2 linked regions of the Rattus norvegicus genome follow. The protein of the gene in region 1 interacts with the protein of each later gene in a pairwise test. Links are inferred from orthologs where the notes say so. Each region holds a gene or a part of one and is shown on either strand. Other genes may lie near its edges.

Region 1 (7,582 bases):
GTACCATCAAGTCAGGGGCTGAGCTGGGCCTCTGGGTAAAGGCCTCTCTGCGGCTGGCCCACTCTGCCAAAGCTCGGGCAGAGCTGGAATGAGGGAGCTTCTGTGGCATCTTGAAGATATATCCATCCTGTGGGCAAGATTGGAGAGGAGCTATCAGGACAAACCCAGTGTACCCTTCTCTCCCTGGAGATCCTCCATCCCGGTCTCTGGAAGCGCACGTTCTCTTTGTCCTCCCCAGGACTACTGGCAGCTCTGTAGCCTGCTTCATCTTTCTCCCAGCTGTCCAGTGCTTGGGAGTTGGTGATGTTCTGTAGCACAGGACTATGTCCCAGCAGCCTCACCTAGGGAACCAGACAGGGCAGTGATTACTAAAGGCTGCATTCCAGGTATCACCCAGGATACCTTCTGCTACCTTGCTCCGTCCGACTCTTCAGCCCCCCCCCCCCCCAGATGAAATCCCATCTCCCCCAACCAGTCCGGGAATGCCTGGCTAGTTCAAACACATCTCTCAGGTACCCCCAATAAGCTCCCTGTCAGGCCTCAGAAGATACTCACTGGCAAAGACCGGAAGCGTTTTATGGTAAATTGCTCACTGCAAAACAAAACAAAACAAAACAAAAACAAAAACAAAAAAAAAACAGTTCAGAGCTGTGAAATCAGAGGCCAGTGACTCAAAGCAGGCAGGATTCCCTTGCACCCATGACATCCACACCACACAAGACAGCAGGAGGTGGGTAAGGAAGGAAGGGAAGACTCACTTTTGAATGACCCGACTGGCTGCCTGAATGGCCTGTTCAAACCTAGGAGAGAGCAGAAATGACCCATTTTCCCAGTAGCCCAACATCTACCCCAAGCCTCAGGCCCAAGCCTGGCTCATGCCCATAGGGCCAGCAACAAGGGCAAGGATGAGGGCCTGTGGTCAGGCTCTAGGAGGGGAGAGTAGAAAATAGTGCACTGTTGGTGGGACCAGGGACCAAGGAGGAAGGGTTTGAGGCAGCCTGGAATTGTAAAGGCTGCTGTGAATGAAAAGCAGGCCCAGAGAAAGGCAGTGATGGAGACAGCTGGGGCAGGTCACAGGGTCATTAAGACATCACCAAGGCAACAGTCTCGCCAGCCTGCACACACAAGCACAGGCCTTCCACCTGTATGCAAATTACATTACTGGGGCCATATGGCCACCATGAAAGGCATTGATCCATCCCAGACAACAGGCTGAAGGTACCCTGTAATATAGGTGACCCTGGGGGTGGATGCCAGCAATGCTGGGTTTCCCTTTCTGCTAGCCACTGGCCTGGCTCCCTGGACAGGGGCTGCTTTGGTGATTTTTCTGGATCAGCCCAGCAGACCCTTTAGTGACAAGTATACAGGGTTACATTCTCTCCTCCCTCCTATGGAATTTTCTAAGACCCAACCTCTGTTCCACCCCCTCCTTCTGTCTTAGAAGAGGCCAGCCAGCAAGGAATTCCAACAGATGCTCCATTTGAGGCTGAAGCGTCAACTTCTACATACAGGCCCTGCCTTCCAATGTTGCTGGAGCACCTGTCATGTGGAGCTTAACACACACACACACACACACACACACACACACACACACACACACACACGTACACCCCAGCTTCTTTCTGAGAAGCTGTAAATAGTCAAAAGTAAGTGCAGACTAACTGGAGAGGCACTTAGTGTCCAAGTGACCCTCAGAGAGGCCTGTGTGCAATCAACCTGGCATCATTTGTAGCTGGGCCTCAGGGGTGAGGGATCTATCTGTGTTGTCGCTAAAAAACAACGTACACTCCTCCCATCCCCACCCAACTCTCGATTTCCTGTTTGTGAATAAACCTTGAGACCAGCACAGTCTGATCAAAGACATCAGGGGGAAATAGTAACCCCCGCCCTAAACCAAAAGCTGTGACTGGCAATGCCCAGCTGTTCCTCCTAATGACTGACAGCTACTCCACAGCTGGATGGGAACAGGTGTGCTCTACAAGGCTCTATTGTGCCACAGCCAAGGAGGAGGAGTCTGCTCACAGCAAAGACCAGCTTTCTCCTCTCCATTCCCTGTTGCAAAGGGTCTGGTCAAGGGTCAGCCAAAAGCACCAAGTGTCAGGGAAAACTGGGAGCTGCTGATGAGCCAGGCCAGTCTGCAAATGCAATTTTTGTTTGGCCTCGGTTGGCCTTGAACTGCCTATCTTTCTGTCTGATCTTCCAGAGTGTTGGGCCACCACACCCAACAGGACCATATTTTTTTTCTTTTTTTTTTGGAGCTGGGGACCGAACTCAGGGCCTTGCGCTTGCTAGGCGAGCGCTCTACCACTGAGCTAAATCCCCAACCCCAGGACCATATTTTTAAGTTTGAAAAAAATGTTACATGTACAAAAAAATGTATACAGGAGAAAAAGAAAAGTGGGAACATGAGGGGCATTGTTTTTCTGAATGACAATGTTAGCTGGACTAATATTGGAGTATACTTTCCCAGAGGCCATTGTTCCTGTGACCTGTGGTCCTGAGCCCACGTTCCTCTGGTTTCTATGGTATCAGGCCTTCTCTGAATAAGGAGCCAATTCTTAAGACTTAGGAAGAAACCAACCCCTCGCAATGGGGATCCTGAGGAACCTGCCTATTATTTGGTTTCCCTTTCTTAAGCAGGATACTGGGGGCTGGAGAGATGGCTCAGTGACGAAGAGTATTTGTTATTCTTGCAGAGGACCTGAGTTCAGTACCCAGCACCCACATATGGCAACTCACGACAGCCTGGAATTCTAGCTCTAAGTGTTCCAAGGCCCTCTCTGACCGCTATAGGACAACACGCTTACACGCACATATCCCCATGTAGAAAACCATATAACACATAATTAAAAACACATTAAAGAAAGATCAGTCCTCAAGGGCAGGTGCCAAGTCCTCAGTGGAAGGACTCCTCCCCCTCTACTCACGTGCGCTCTGCTGTCTGTGGGTCCATAGGGCTAGGGGAGTCCATGCAGAGACCTGGTGGGACAGAGCACCTTGGCTTGCAGGTAGCAGCCTTTCCTGCTTACTTTTTCCCCAAGAAAGGGAAAAGAAACCTCTTTCTCTTTGAGATCAAGGCATACTTTAATGGGACACTGCCCCCATAGGACGAGGGGCTACATTCTCTATTTACTATGGGAAACGTATCTGCACTTTTTTGTTTTATTTATTTATTTTTTAGTGCTTTCTAAGCATTTTTCTTAAGCTGGTTTAAAACAACTTGGAAAAGATAATGGTTTTCTAAGGAGAAAAGGCTACAGCTTAAGAGAATGCTTCACAAGGACAGGCTTTTGGTACCAAGTGCTGTCTGGGTGGAGCTGTAGTTCAGTGGCTTTACCGCTAGGTTTCAAATAAGTAAGATACCATCTCCTACCAAGAGTCGTCCTTCCCCAGACTCCCAGTTTAGGCTGGGTGTGGTAAGACCCACCAGAGGTTTGTTTGCTTCATAGTTTTGAAGGCAAGCTGGGGGATGATTCTGTGGAAAGGACCGGGATCTATCTCATGGGCAGAGAATTTAGAAGGTCCAGAAAGTTCCCTGATCTCTTTTGGTGGTGGTGGTGGTGGTGGTGGTGGTGTGTGTACCCCCACTACGGGCCCTGGGCCTTACCTGCATCAGAAGATTCTGAGGACTCAGATGACAGGGAGCACTCAGAGGTACGTCTGGACAGGGACAGGTCTGTCAGCCTGTTCTGGAACGACAGGCTTCCTACTTGAGTTTTTGGGGTCTCGCTAGGAAAGGAGAAAGAGGCACAGAGGAGGAGAAAAAGAAATTAATGTTGGATTTGGAAGCTGGTCAGCCCATGCTCCCATGAATTCCCCAACTATGAAGGGCCCATCTATCTGTCACTGAGAGGTGATCCTAGAACTAGCCTGTATCTCAAGTCAAAGCATTTCATTCTACTGAGGCCCGAGAGGGTCTTCTCTGCGTTGACTGGTTCAGGAAAGACCCTTCTAAGTGTCTGGAAGAGTGAGAAGGATGGGCAGGAGACAGCCCAGAAGCTCTGGAGAACCTTCTCCTGCTGGGCACATCCTCACCTCGCCAGCATTTCCCAGGAGGCAAAGGCTAAGCAAGACCCGGCTCTCTGCTGCAGCTGGACCGACCACCCAGCTGGGACCCCACAGGTTAAGGAGGTGGCCCGTCTTTTTTCAGTTTAAGCCTTAGGGGAGTAGGTGAGATATTTTCAAAGAGCAGGGCGCAGCCTTTTAAGACCCACTTCTAGGCCAACCTCATGATCCTCTGCCTAAGAACAGTGTGCAGGAGGCACAATGAAGGAGCAGTGAGGTAAATGATCCTTAGACGGCCAGTCATCTGGAGGGTGTAAGTCGCATAGCTTCTGACTCAGCACACTGGTCCCATGTCACTGAAACAAGGCTAAAGGCGTCGGTGTGCTGCACTCCGTGGCTCTGGTGCCTAGTGTCTCCTGGTCCCGGCCTCCCATCCCACCACACCCAGTGCCCTTGGGGCATCCTACCTGCCGAGCCCTGCGAGGTTGTACATGGTCTGGGTAAGAGTGGTAACCGGAGAGGAGGAAGCCGCACGCTCTGGAGACCCCAGCAAGCCATCAGACCCAAACCCAAAGCCTGAGAGGTGGCGCGGCCGCTGAATGCCACCCAGCACGCGGGCAGTACTGAGAGCTGAGCCCGGCGCAGACTTCTGCGGGGGTACCTCCATGGTGGCGGGGCGGGCAAAGGCTAGCTAGAGGGCCACAAGTACAGCGGCCAGCAGACGCCGACCCAGATGGCTAGGCTCCGAGAGTGAGCCTGGGGTAAGGGGAAGGAGGGAGGGGAGGGAGGGAGGAAGAGCAGTGGGCCTGGGAGTGAGGAGAGGGATGTGGGGAGGAAGGGAGGGGAAGACGCGAGCTGGGCAGCTGCCACCTCCACCTCCTTATATATTCGAAAAATAACAGCGGCAGCGCCGCCAGACGCCACCAATGGGGGCGCCGGTTCCGGGAGGGCGGGACCAAGGGCGGGGCGCTGGTGGCTTGGGCTGAGGCTGGACCAGCTACTTCTGCCGGCTTGGCTTCTTAGGGTGGGTGACTCAGGGAGTTGGGTTAACCCCCTGTTCCACACATACCCTCCGCTCCCTTTGACACGAGAATCCTGGTCTCCAGGATATTGCCTCATGGGACAGGGTTTGGAGGTACATAACCTCAGAAGGAGTAGCCATCACTTAGGGTGGCCTCGTAAGGAGCCCTCGACGTTTACCATCAGTGCACGGTCACCGGTAAGGGTCGGTGCTACACTCTGCTTGAGCCTAGGACGTTTGCCAAGTTTGCTGTGAGCTCTGCGTTCCCTGTCCGGTTTACAGACCGAGCGTTGAAAAGTTCCGTGACTCGTTTAAGGTCACGGGTTTGGTTGAATGGCGGAGACGAAGATGCACCCTCCCGGGCTCCTCTGATCCTGCAGCCTCCCTGTCAACGCCCCTAGGCCGCAGAGAGCAGCTGCAGTCATTCAACCGCGGCGCTTTGCGAGGCACAGAGGAACTGCCTCACTGAGCTAAGCCCAATAGTCTCCCCTATAACCCCTGAGAATTAAACGTTTAGATTTACGCAATGATTTCTGCAGCAGGCAGTTGGGAGCAGCCAGAGAACCCAGTAAGGGAAGAATCTCACACCCACTATGGCTTGGCTAATTTGGGGTTAATAGCACCATAGTGTTTCTTTGAAAGTAAAAGAGGCTGAATTTGCTATTAGTTTACAATGAGCGTTTTCTAACGATCTAATCACCTTGCAGGCGAGAGTCTGTTTTCCTGGAATGAGCTGGGAAGGACCTAGTAAGTAGTTGGGAACTTTTTCAAATTCCCCAGTGAGGGTGTGGCTTCTGGGACGGTCATGGGGTGCAGTATAGGATCTAGGAGCTGAGAGCAGCCTTGAACACCTGCCTTTGCTATTTTAACCACCACCCTAGGCCCACCAGGTAAGAATGGCAAAGGGGTAACTAAGGGTAGGGATAGAGTCTAAGAGGTTCAGCTGTGAATAAAGGAGGACACTAGACACACCTGAGTGGAGTGCCCGAGGTAGGAACCACGACCTGACCACTTTTTTCTTTCAACATTTTGCCCAGTTCCTGTGGTATGTCAGGAACTTATATACTGCTACTGGGGACCCATTTCTTATTCCAGTCATAAGTCAAGACCTTAGTGCCAGGACCAGGAGAGAAATGTGTCCCCACATGGCCTTCCATTCCAAAGACCTGAAATAAAATTGCTCCAAGGAGTATATTTTCAAAACCAACATAGCTGGTTTCCCTCAACCTGCATCTCAGCTCACACACTGTTTGGGGTGAGGAGGAGCCATGCTGTGTTGAGTTTTGATCACTTGAATCTCATGAAGTTCCACAACTGAAAGGTTCTCCTTGTCCCAGTGGAGGAGAGAGATGTCCTTTCCACGGCAACTGACACCCACTCACACCCTCCTGAACCTCACTTTTCCACTTAGATCATAAAATACATACTCAACTAAAACAACAAATTGCTCTTAGAGATTGAAGGCCACCCAGAGACTGTCCCACCTGGAGATCCATCCCATCTGCAGACACCAAACCCAGACACTACTGCTGATGCCGAGAAGTGCTTGCTGACAGCCTGATACAGTTATTTTCTGAGAGGCTCTACCAGATCCTGACCAATACAGATGCTGATGCTCAAAGCCAACCATTGGACTGATCACAGGGACCCCAATAGAGGAGTTAGGGGAAGGACGAAGGAGCGAAAGGGGCCTTATCTGGCATCAATGGGAGGGGTGGCTTGGGTCCTATGAAGGCTTGATGTTCCAGTGTAGAGGAATGCTAAGGCAGTGAGGTGGGAGTGGAAGGGTAGGTGAGTGGGAGGAGCACCCTCATAGAAGCAGGGGTAGGGGGGTATGATAGGGGGTTTACACAGGGGAAACTGGGAAAGGGGATAATCTTTGAAATGTAAATAAATAAAATATCCAATTAAAAATTTGCTCTTTTTTGAGATTAGGAAGAGGAGTGCTATATTATGTAAACCTGGCTGGCTTCTGACTCTGTGTGTAGAGCAAGCTGGCTTCAACTTTATGGTGACTGGGCTGTTTTTGATTCCTGAGTGTTGGGAATTTCAGGCATGGAGTGCCACTGCCCGCAGGTTAAAAATCTCACGGTGCAGCCCGCAGAGTTTTATGTCACAGGCGCTTTGCCTGTGTGTGCACCATTTGCCTGCTTGGTGCCTGTGCAGGACAGAAGAGGACTTCAGATCCCCTGAAACAGAGGGTTGTGAGCTGCAATGTGGGTGCTGGGAGTCAAACCTGGGTCCTCTACAAGAGCAGGCAGTGTTATTAACCTAGAGCCATCTCTCCAGGGCCTTTTTAGGAACGGTGTTTCCTCTACTAGTCCCCCAACACACACCTTTTTTTTTTTTTCCATAGGTGTGACATGTTAAATTTTTGTGCCACTAAAACCTCAAAGAACAACATCTTATGATACAAAAGACAGCCCCACCCCTAAATCTTCAGAAACAGCACTGTGAGAAATTTCTTGTATCACCTCCTGAAGATGATTCATATTTAGCCAAAGGAAGCATGGTGGCAGACGCGCATGGCGGCCACAAACAGAATTAAAGATTCCT
Region 2 (7,688 bases), on another chromosome or scaffold:
AAACAAAAATCCACTCTGTTGAAGTTTATGATTTTGTGTTGAGGCCACATCCACAGCTATCATCGGAAGCATGTGGACTGTGGGCCACCTGTTGTACTCAATGGAATTCATTCTTCCAAATATTTGAGGATTAAAGCCGAAACAGCTGTATGAGTAGAGCCAGCGGGGTGGCTCACGCCTGTCAAGTCAATCTCATGGGCTAGATGGTAACAGTGGAAAGTGGAGCCCAAGCACACGATCAAGAATACAAAGCCAGTCTGGGCTACAGAGTGAGACGATCTCAAAACAGAGCAACCAAAACAAAATAGCTGAATGGGCACAGAGTGGTCTGCGCTCACTTGGGAAATAAGAGATAGATACTAGTTAACTAAATCTGTGTAGGGATATTCCAAAATTGTAGTTGGTATCAGGGCAACCACCTCTAGAGTGGTGACAGGTGAGAGAACCCTGAATAAAAGCACTGTGGTTCCTGGCAAGAAGATGGGCTTTGCTCTTGGATGTGGGTATGGGTGGGCTGTAGAGAGCCTGGCAAGCCTCCGTACCATTTCGGCAAAGATGCAGCCCAGGCTCCAGATGTCCACGGCTGTGGAGTAGTACTTGCAGCCCAGAAGAATCTCCGGTGCTCGGTACCAGAGGGTCACCACCTGGGGAACAAGACGACAGCAGGGCTTACAAGGGAGGGAGGGCCACATACCTCAGTTCAACACAACCTTCCAGCTTCTTTTAAAATGATTTCACTGTTTTTTTAAATTTCAATAATGTGAATACATGCAGGTCTATGTAGGTTTCCACAACTATGCAGTGCCCTTAGAAGCCAGAACAAAGTGTCTGATGCCTTGGAGGTGGAGTTGAGGGTGGCTGCAAACTGCCAGTCATGGGCTCTGGGAACTGAATACAGGTCATCTACAAGAATATTACACGCCCCTAACTGTCGAGCCATCTGTCTATCCAGTAATGTATTCTAAATCCCCAGATTTGGGACCTTCCTAGAAAATCTGAGATATTTAAATGATATAGCAACCCGTTTTCCTGGCCTAGTATCCAAGTCGAGGCAACTTTGTAATATGAATTCAGTGCATATCTTAAGACCCTGTTGGTAAAAGTTAGAGCAATGACTTGGCAGTTAAGAGCGCTTGTTGTGGGCTGGAGAGATGGCTCAGCGTTAAGAGCACTGACTGCTCTTCCAGAGGTCCTGAGTTCAATTCCCAGCAACCACATGGTGGCTCACAACCATCTGTAATGGGATTGGGTGTGTCTGAAGACAGCTACAGTAGTACATTAAGTAAATAAATAAGGGGGTTGGGGATTTAGCTCGGTGGTAGAGCGCTTGCCTAGCAAGTGGCCCTGGGTTCAGTCCCCAGCTCCGGAAAAAAAAAAAAAGAGCGCTTGTAGTTCTTACAGAGGACCCAGGTTCAATTCCCAGATCACTACAATCTGTGACTGCAGTTCCAGGGTATCAGACACTTTCTTCTGACTTCTGTGAGCACCAGGCAGGCATATGGTACAGATACATGTGCAAGCAAAACACTCATACACTTTACATAAATAATTAAAGGCCCTTGGGTTGTCAGAGATTCCATTCACCAAAGAACTCTTGCCCCAAATTTTGGTAATTTCCAAATGCTCTTACGAACATCTCCCAAGATCCTTTTTTTAAAAAAAAATTTATTTATTTAATGTATATGAGTACTCTGTTCAGACACACCAGAAGAGGGCATCGGATCTCATTACAGATGGTTGTGAGCCACCATGTGGTTGCTGGGAATCGAACTCAGGACCTCTGAAAGAGCAGTCAGTGCTCCTAACCACTAAGCCATCTCTCCAGCCCCATCTCCCAAGATCCTTAAGGAAAACCATAAAGGGACTTACCTCATGAGTGTAAGTACGGACAGGGACTCCAAAGGCTCTTGCTAGTCCAAAGTCAGCCAGCTTGATGGACCCCTCTGCGTTGATAAGCAGGTTCTGGGGCTTAAGGTCTCGGTGCAGGACACGGTGAGAATGGCAGAATGCTAGGCCCTGGAGCAGCTGGAACAGATAGCTCTGACAAAGGAGAGAGGGAGGTTTGTTTCATCAAACAGATATGACTTATTCTTTATCCTCAAAATTCAATATGCTGGGCTGGAGAGATGGCTCAGGAGCTAAGAGCACTGGTTGATCTTCCAGAGGTCCTGAGTTCAAATCCCAGCAACCATATGGTGGCTCACAAGCATCTGTAATGAGATCTGATGCCCTCTTCTGGTGTGTCTGAAGACAGCGACAGTATACTTATATATAATAAATAAATAAATCTTTAAAAAAAATTCAATATGCTGCACAAGAACTATACCATATACTTGGGGAGGGGTTCTTTAATTCTTTAGTTACATTTTATTTGTTTGTTTATTTATGGGGGCAGGGGCATGCCACAGTGCATGTGTAGAAGTCAGAGGACAACTTGCAGGAGCTCCTTTTCTTCTTGTGTGGGACCTAGGGATGGAGTTCAGGCCGTCAAGTCATTAGGCTTGGAGGCAGGCGCTTTCACCACTGAGCTATCTTGTCAGTCCTGCTTGTTTTTAAAGATACTGTCTTTCTGGCCTGGAACTTTGTAGCTTGGCTGCCCTTGTACTTACATCCTACTGCCTCAGCCTCCCAAGTGTTAGGATTACAGACACAAACCAACACACACAACTACAGCATAACCACACCTTTAATAGCGATGTCTTTCACTGAATTTTCAGCCTGGCAAGGATATAGACCAGATACTACTCAACTTTTGCATCCCTTTTTTCAACCCCCGTGTCTAGCAACACTGAAGGTGTTAAGTGACTATGTGTTGAGTAGGTACTTGCTGATACATTCAAAGTGCTTCCAGGATCCAGCCTAGCTTGAAAACAGACCACAGAGACTCACTGATTAGTTTTTCCCACACCACAGGTGGGAGAATTTATTTCAAGGAACTCATCTACCCTCAATCTCCTGTATCTGAGTGTTATCTGATCTCCTTCCTGCCTGAGCTGCCTTGGTTGGTTCACAGGAGCTCAATTTGGATTCTTCTGTCCATTCTAGGGTTAATGACTAATGACAGGAAAGGGGGGAGTGTGTTAAAGTCAGAAGTCTGAGGGGAAAAAAAGCCAAAATAAATCATTACTAGTCCGAATTACCTGCTTCTAGTTTCCCCTAAAGCGTGTAGGCTAGACTTGAGCAGGATTACCTTGATGAGGGGAAGAGGAATGCCAGTGAGAGCAGAAGCATCCATAAACTTCTTGAGGTCCTGGTGCAGGAATTCAAACACCAGATAAAGCTTATTTTCTGTGTGGATGACATCCAGCAGCCTGCAAGGGAAGTTCCAGGAACCAGAGTTGAGGGAGAGAAATTGTGAGGCCAAGCAAACAGAATTCATCTTGGGGATCATCCCTCAGAGTAGACTTACTTGACGATGTTAGGGTGATTGAGCTCCTTAAGGAGGGAGATCTCTCGGATGGCAGTACTGGGCACACCTTCAGTCTCACTTGGAGAGGTTGGGGAAACAGAGGCGGGAAGACGGTTACAAACATTATTCTTTCAGGGATACACAACCCCCAAACCCATTAGGAAGTCAGAAAGGAAAGGTGTTGTCAGGGGTTAATTCCTGGGTAGTCAGGGTGTGGCTTTTAGACAATATTCAAGGTCATTATTTCCTCTTTTTCCAGTGGAAGATAAGGGAAGCCTCCAGGTGAATAAAAAGCAGAGGAAAGGTAATAGCGGAGGGGGTTGAGAGTAGCTCCCAGCCTCCCCAGAGAACCAGTGAATCTCAACTGCCATTCTTTTGAAAGAGGGTGAGGGTTCTAAGTATGGTGCTGGAGTAGTGAGAAGAGCTCTCCACTCAGAAAGGAGCTTTTCTCTGGTTCCCACATAACCCAACTCCATGAACAGCCCTGGATCCTACCTCAGCTCCCACCTCCCACTTTCTCTTCCCAAGTCTCTCGGCTTGCAGATCTGGGAGCACACCGGGAGGAGCACGACAAGAAACTTTCCCCTGAATTCTAGCCCCGGACAGTCTCCTCCGGGAGAGCGTCCACCGTCCGCCAACCCACCGCTCGCTTCAGGAGTCCCTCCCCGCCACCTTCCGGTCCCGGGAGGCTACCCGCCTGTTTGGGTAAGGGGTTGGGGGGGGGGGCAGCCAAGAGGTCCGGGCAAAGGAGTTCCGGCTTCGGAGGCCACTCACGTGTCGAGCCGGATTTTCTTAAGCGCCACAACTTCTCCCGTCAACTTGTTTTTGGCTTTGTACACCACTCCGTACGTGCCCTCTCCAATCTTCTCCACCTTTTGGAAGTTCTCCATGGAGCGCTAGTGAGGCGGCTCAGGCCCCCGGGAGCGGGGCCCGGGAACCCTGACGAAAGCGGGCCGGACACTCGGAGCGGAGGACCTGGGGGCCCGGGTGAGCACGGCAGCCCTAGCTCGGGATGGAACGCAAGCAGAGCTCAGCTCTTGACAATTTGTCCAACTTGAAACAATGTTGCCGCCTCCCCCACTGCTCCAGCCTGCCATCCGAGGCCCCGCCCCTCCTTCCCGCGTTTCCCTGGCCCCGCCCCCCGTCCTTCCGATTGGTTCACGTCACGAGGGCGGACCGGACCCCGCGCTCCCGCCTCAGAGGCCCCGCCCCCGGCAGGCGAGCGGAGGGGCCGAGGCGCAACTTTCCCCTAGTTCCTGGTTTAGGTTCCGCGGGCCAGAACTGGTGTTGTTTCTGGTCTACGGATTTTTCTTACCTTTCCCTCACAATTTTCACCATCCCTTGGGTGAGATTAAATTCCACCTGGCCAAGAAAGTCTCTTTTAAAAAACTAAACCTGGGAATCTTTAAAAGAAAAAAATACGTATTTTAAATTAGGTGTGTGTTTGCGTATCTGTAGGTTTTCACGGAAACAGCAGATCCCCGGGAGCTGAGGTCCTGGGCGAACTCTGGTCTTCTGCAAGAGCAGCTTGTGCTTTCAACAGAGGTGCCGTTTCTCCAGCACTCCCACCTGCTTTTCTGAAACATCTCATAATGCAGCCCTTGTTGGCTGGAATGCGTTCAAAAGTCCACGTTGTCTTCAAACTCACAGAGATCCGTTTGGCTCGGTTTCCCGGGTGAGGCCATGTGGAACACGAATTCAATCTCTCTCTCTCTCTCTCTCTCTCTCTCTCTCTCTCTCTCTCTCTCTCTCTCCCTCTCCCTCTCCCTCTCCCTCTCCCTCCCTCCCTCCCTCTCCCTCCCCCTCTTCCCCTCCCTCCCTCCCTCTCCCTCCCTCTCTCCCTCCCTCCTTCCCTCCTTTTTCTTTCTTTTCTTTTTCCCAGACAAGGTTTCTCTGTGTAATCTTGGCTGTCCTGGAACTCGCTCTGTAGGCCAGGCTGGAAAATCAATCGGGACTCTTATTGTAAAGGATTCTTTGGCTAGATAACAGAGTCGTTTCTCAGCCTAGCTTAATACTGTCTCACTGTTTCGGGGTTCATTGGCTGCTTGTGTTGTTTCATTGCTGGCAATCTACACTCCCAGCCCCTTCTGGCTGCTTTTGGATAAAGGTGCTGTTTCTGTCTTAAGGAACTCTTTGGTTTGACTCAATTCTCTTGACTCTGCCTTGCTGAACTGTGACTGTGAAGTATATGAATTGCGGCTGCCCATCAGCGAACTCTTTCCAGAATAAGTGTGTGTCAGTGAATGTGACCCAGTGAAACCAGACACTGTCATTGGAGCAATGGGATGAAATCAGTTCCGGCCCTTTCCTTCTTCCCAGGTTTCCCCTCCTCTGGAGGGAGAGGAGGAAGGCCTATGCAAATGAGCATCCCCTTCTATATAGGGGCTCATTCTCACCCCCTGGTACCTTTGGCTGCTGAAAGGAGGACCAGTATGGGTGTCCAGAGAAGGTGCTTCCTTCCTGTGCTTGTGCTGGGTGCTCTGCTGGCTTTGGGGTCTATAGAAGGTGAGTGTGTGTGGTCAGGAGCAAGTGCTATTAGCTGCTCTGGATTTCCACCTTCTAATCAGACAAGTAAAAATATTTCAGGCTGGCTCTATTTGATTTGGTGAGAATATAGTTTTGTTTGTTTTTTATTTGTTTAAGACAGGTCCAGTGTAGCCCAGGCTAGCCTCAGATTCATTATATACCCAAGGATGGACTCGAACTCCTGATCCTCTTGTTTCTACTTCCTAAGTACTGGGATTACAGACTTAAACTATTGTGCCCAGCTTCAGATGTGAAGCATAAAAGTATTCCTATTTGATGCAAGGGGCAGAAGGCACAGCACTAATTCTGAGGCTTCCTAAAGCAATCAGCTGAAGCAGGGGCTCCACGGAGGTGACATGAGCAGGGAGATCCTTTGGGTAATATCTTAAGTGCTAGTGGTAGGAGATGTAGAGTAAAAAAGAATAGGGTGTTCAACAAGACCAAACTGATACATACTGCCTTCTGCACTTGGGCTGGGGCAGGTGAATACAGCCAGGACTTATGTGCCAGGGTTGGGAGAGGTCTAGAAGGGTCTCAGCTGAGCATCACATGAAAGGACTCTGGGGGATTGAGGCCTCGTGACAGGGGCAAGGGGAGGGAGTGAAGGGTGGTGAGAGCGTCTGGAATGTCCTGCTGCTGAGGAGGGAGAGCGGGCAGTCAAAAAGAATAGTGCATCTTATGACTGCTCTTCAGTGGCTGAGAGGAGCATAGACCAAACCCCCAGCAGAACCCTGGGCTTCCTTCCTGTGGACATTAGACTTGGGTTAAGGACAGTTCTCTGTGCTGATACGTGTGCTTGTGTGTGTGTGTGTGTGTGTGTGTGTGTGTGTGTGTGTGTGTGTGTGTGAAAGTTCCTTAATCTGGCTTCTTCATTTGTACTGCAATTTCCAGGCTTTTTTTTCTTTTCATTTCTTTTTTGAGATGGAGTTCCTTAATGTGCAAATGTTCTGTTGATACCCACAGGTCGAGGTTCTTAAGGCACTGTGCTTACATTTCAAACCCTGACTTTAGTTTTTGTATTTTTCCCACCATGTGAGTCTGGGGAACATTAGGCTAGGCAGCAAGCATCTTTACCCCATAAGCCACCTCATTTGCCCAAGATTTTTCTTCTGAATACAAACTTCAGACAGGACCAGCAAGCAGTAAGGATAAAGCAAATGTATCAAACTGTTGGTGGGATCTGGGATCTGGATTCAGGTAAGGGATGTGGAAGCTCATTTTATTCCTTTCTTTTCAGTCATACATTTTAGCTCTGGTCTCCCAGGGTAACCCCAGCTGGCCTCCGACTTGCAGTGATTTTCCTGCTCCTTCTTTTGAATGCTGGGATTACAGATGTGACACACTATACCCAATTAAATTATAATAATTATGTCTGCTCTGTCCCCACCTCCAACCTGTACCTGCTTCTTTTTTTTTTTTTTTTTTCCGGAGCTGGGGACCGAACCCAGGGCCTTGCGCTTCCTAGGTAAGCGCTCTACCACTGAGCTAAATCCCCAGCCCCTGTACCTGCTTCTTATTCCTCTCCTCCTCTCCCTGGTCTGTCTCTGTCTCTCTTTCCCTCCCTCCCTCTCTTCTTCCCTCCCTCCTTCCCTCTCCTTTTTTCTTTTTTCCCCTCCTCCTCCCCCTCTTCTTCCTCCCTTACACCAATACCTCCTCCTTTTCCTTCTCCTTCTCTTCTTCCTCCTCCTTCTGAGACAAAGTTCTTTAGACTGGGTTGCTCTACAATCCACTTTGTAGTTCATGCTGTCAACCT

What was found. The genes of interacting proteins can lie anywhere in the genome.
Region 2: the proteins of Cdc25b (region 1) and Cdk2 interact in a two-hybrid assay, tested with the Homo sapiens proteins (2 studies listed by BioGRID and IntAct). The link is inferred for Rattus norvegicus from reciprocal best matches to the Homo sapiens genes CDC25B and CDK2.

Annotation. Positions count from the first base shown.
Region 1 is NC_086021.1:138,857,453-138,865,034, reverse strand, and holds the start of Cdc25b (M-phase inducer phosphatase 2), read right to left. Parts: upstream 4,863-7,582; 5' UTR 4,673-4,862; coding exon 4,473-4,672; intron 3,730-4,472; coding exon 3,608-3,729; intron 2,980-3,607; coding exon 2,928-2,979; intron 801-2,927; coding exon 759-800; intron 593-758; coding exon 556-592; intron 342-555; coding exon 219-341; coding exon of another isoform or gene 174-218; intron 128-173; coding exon 5-127; intron 1-4. UniProt on the Homo sapiens protein: Tyrosine protein phosphatase which functions as a dosage-dependent inducer of mitotic progression. Directly dephosphorylates CDK1 and stimulates its kinase activity.
Region 2 is NC_086025.1:1,717,430-1,725,117, forward strand, and holds the start of Cdk2 (cyclin-dependent kinase 2), read right to left. Parts: upstream 4,450-7,688; 5' UTR 4,300-4,449; coding exon 4,184-4,299; intron 4,122-4,183; exon of another isoform or gene 3,905-4,121; intron 3,488-3,904; coding exon 3,410-3,487; intron 3,312-3,409; coding exon 3,191-3,311; intron 2,041-3,190; coding exon 1,870-2,040; intron 645-1,869; coding exon 543-644; intron 1-542. Other genes in the region: melanocyte protein Pmel 17 precursor, read left to right, coding at 5,842-5,914. UniProt on the Homo sapiens protein: Serine/threonine-protein kinase involved in the control of the cell cycle; essential for meiosis, but dispensable for mitosis. Phosphorylates CABLES1, CTNNB1, CDK2AP2, ERCC6, NBN, USP37, p53/TP53, NPM1, CDK7, RB1, BRCA2, MYC, NPAT, EZH2.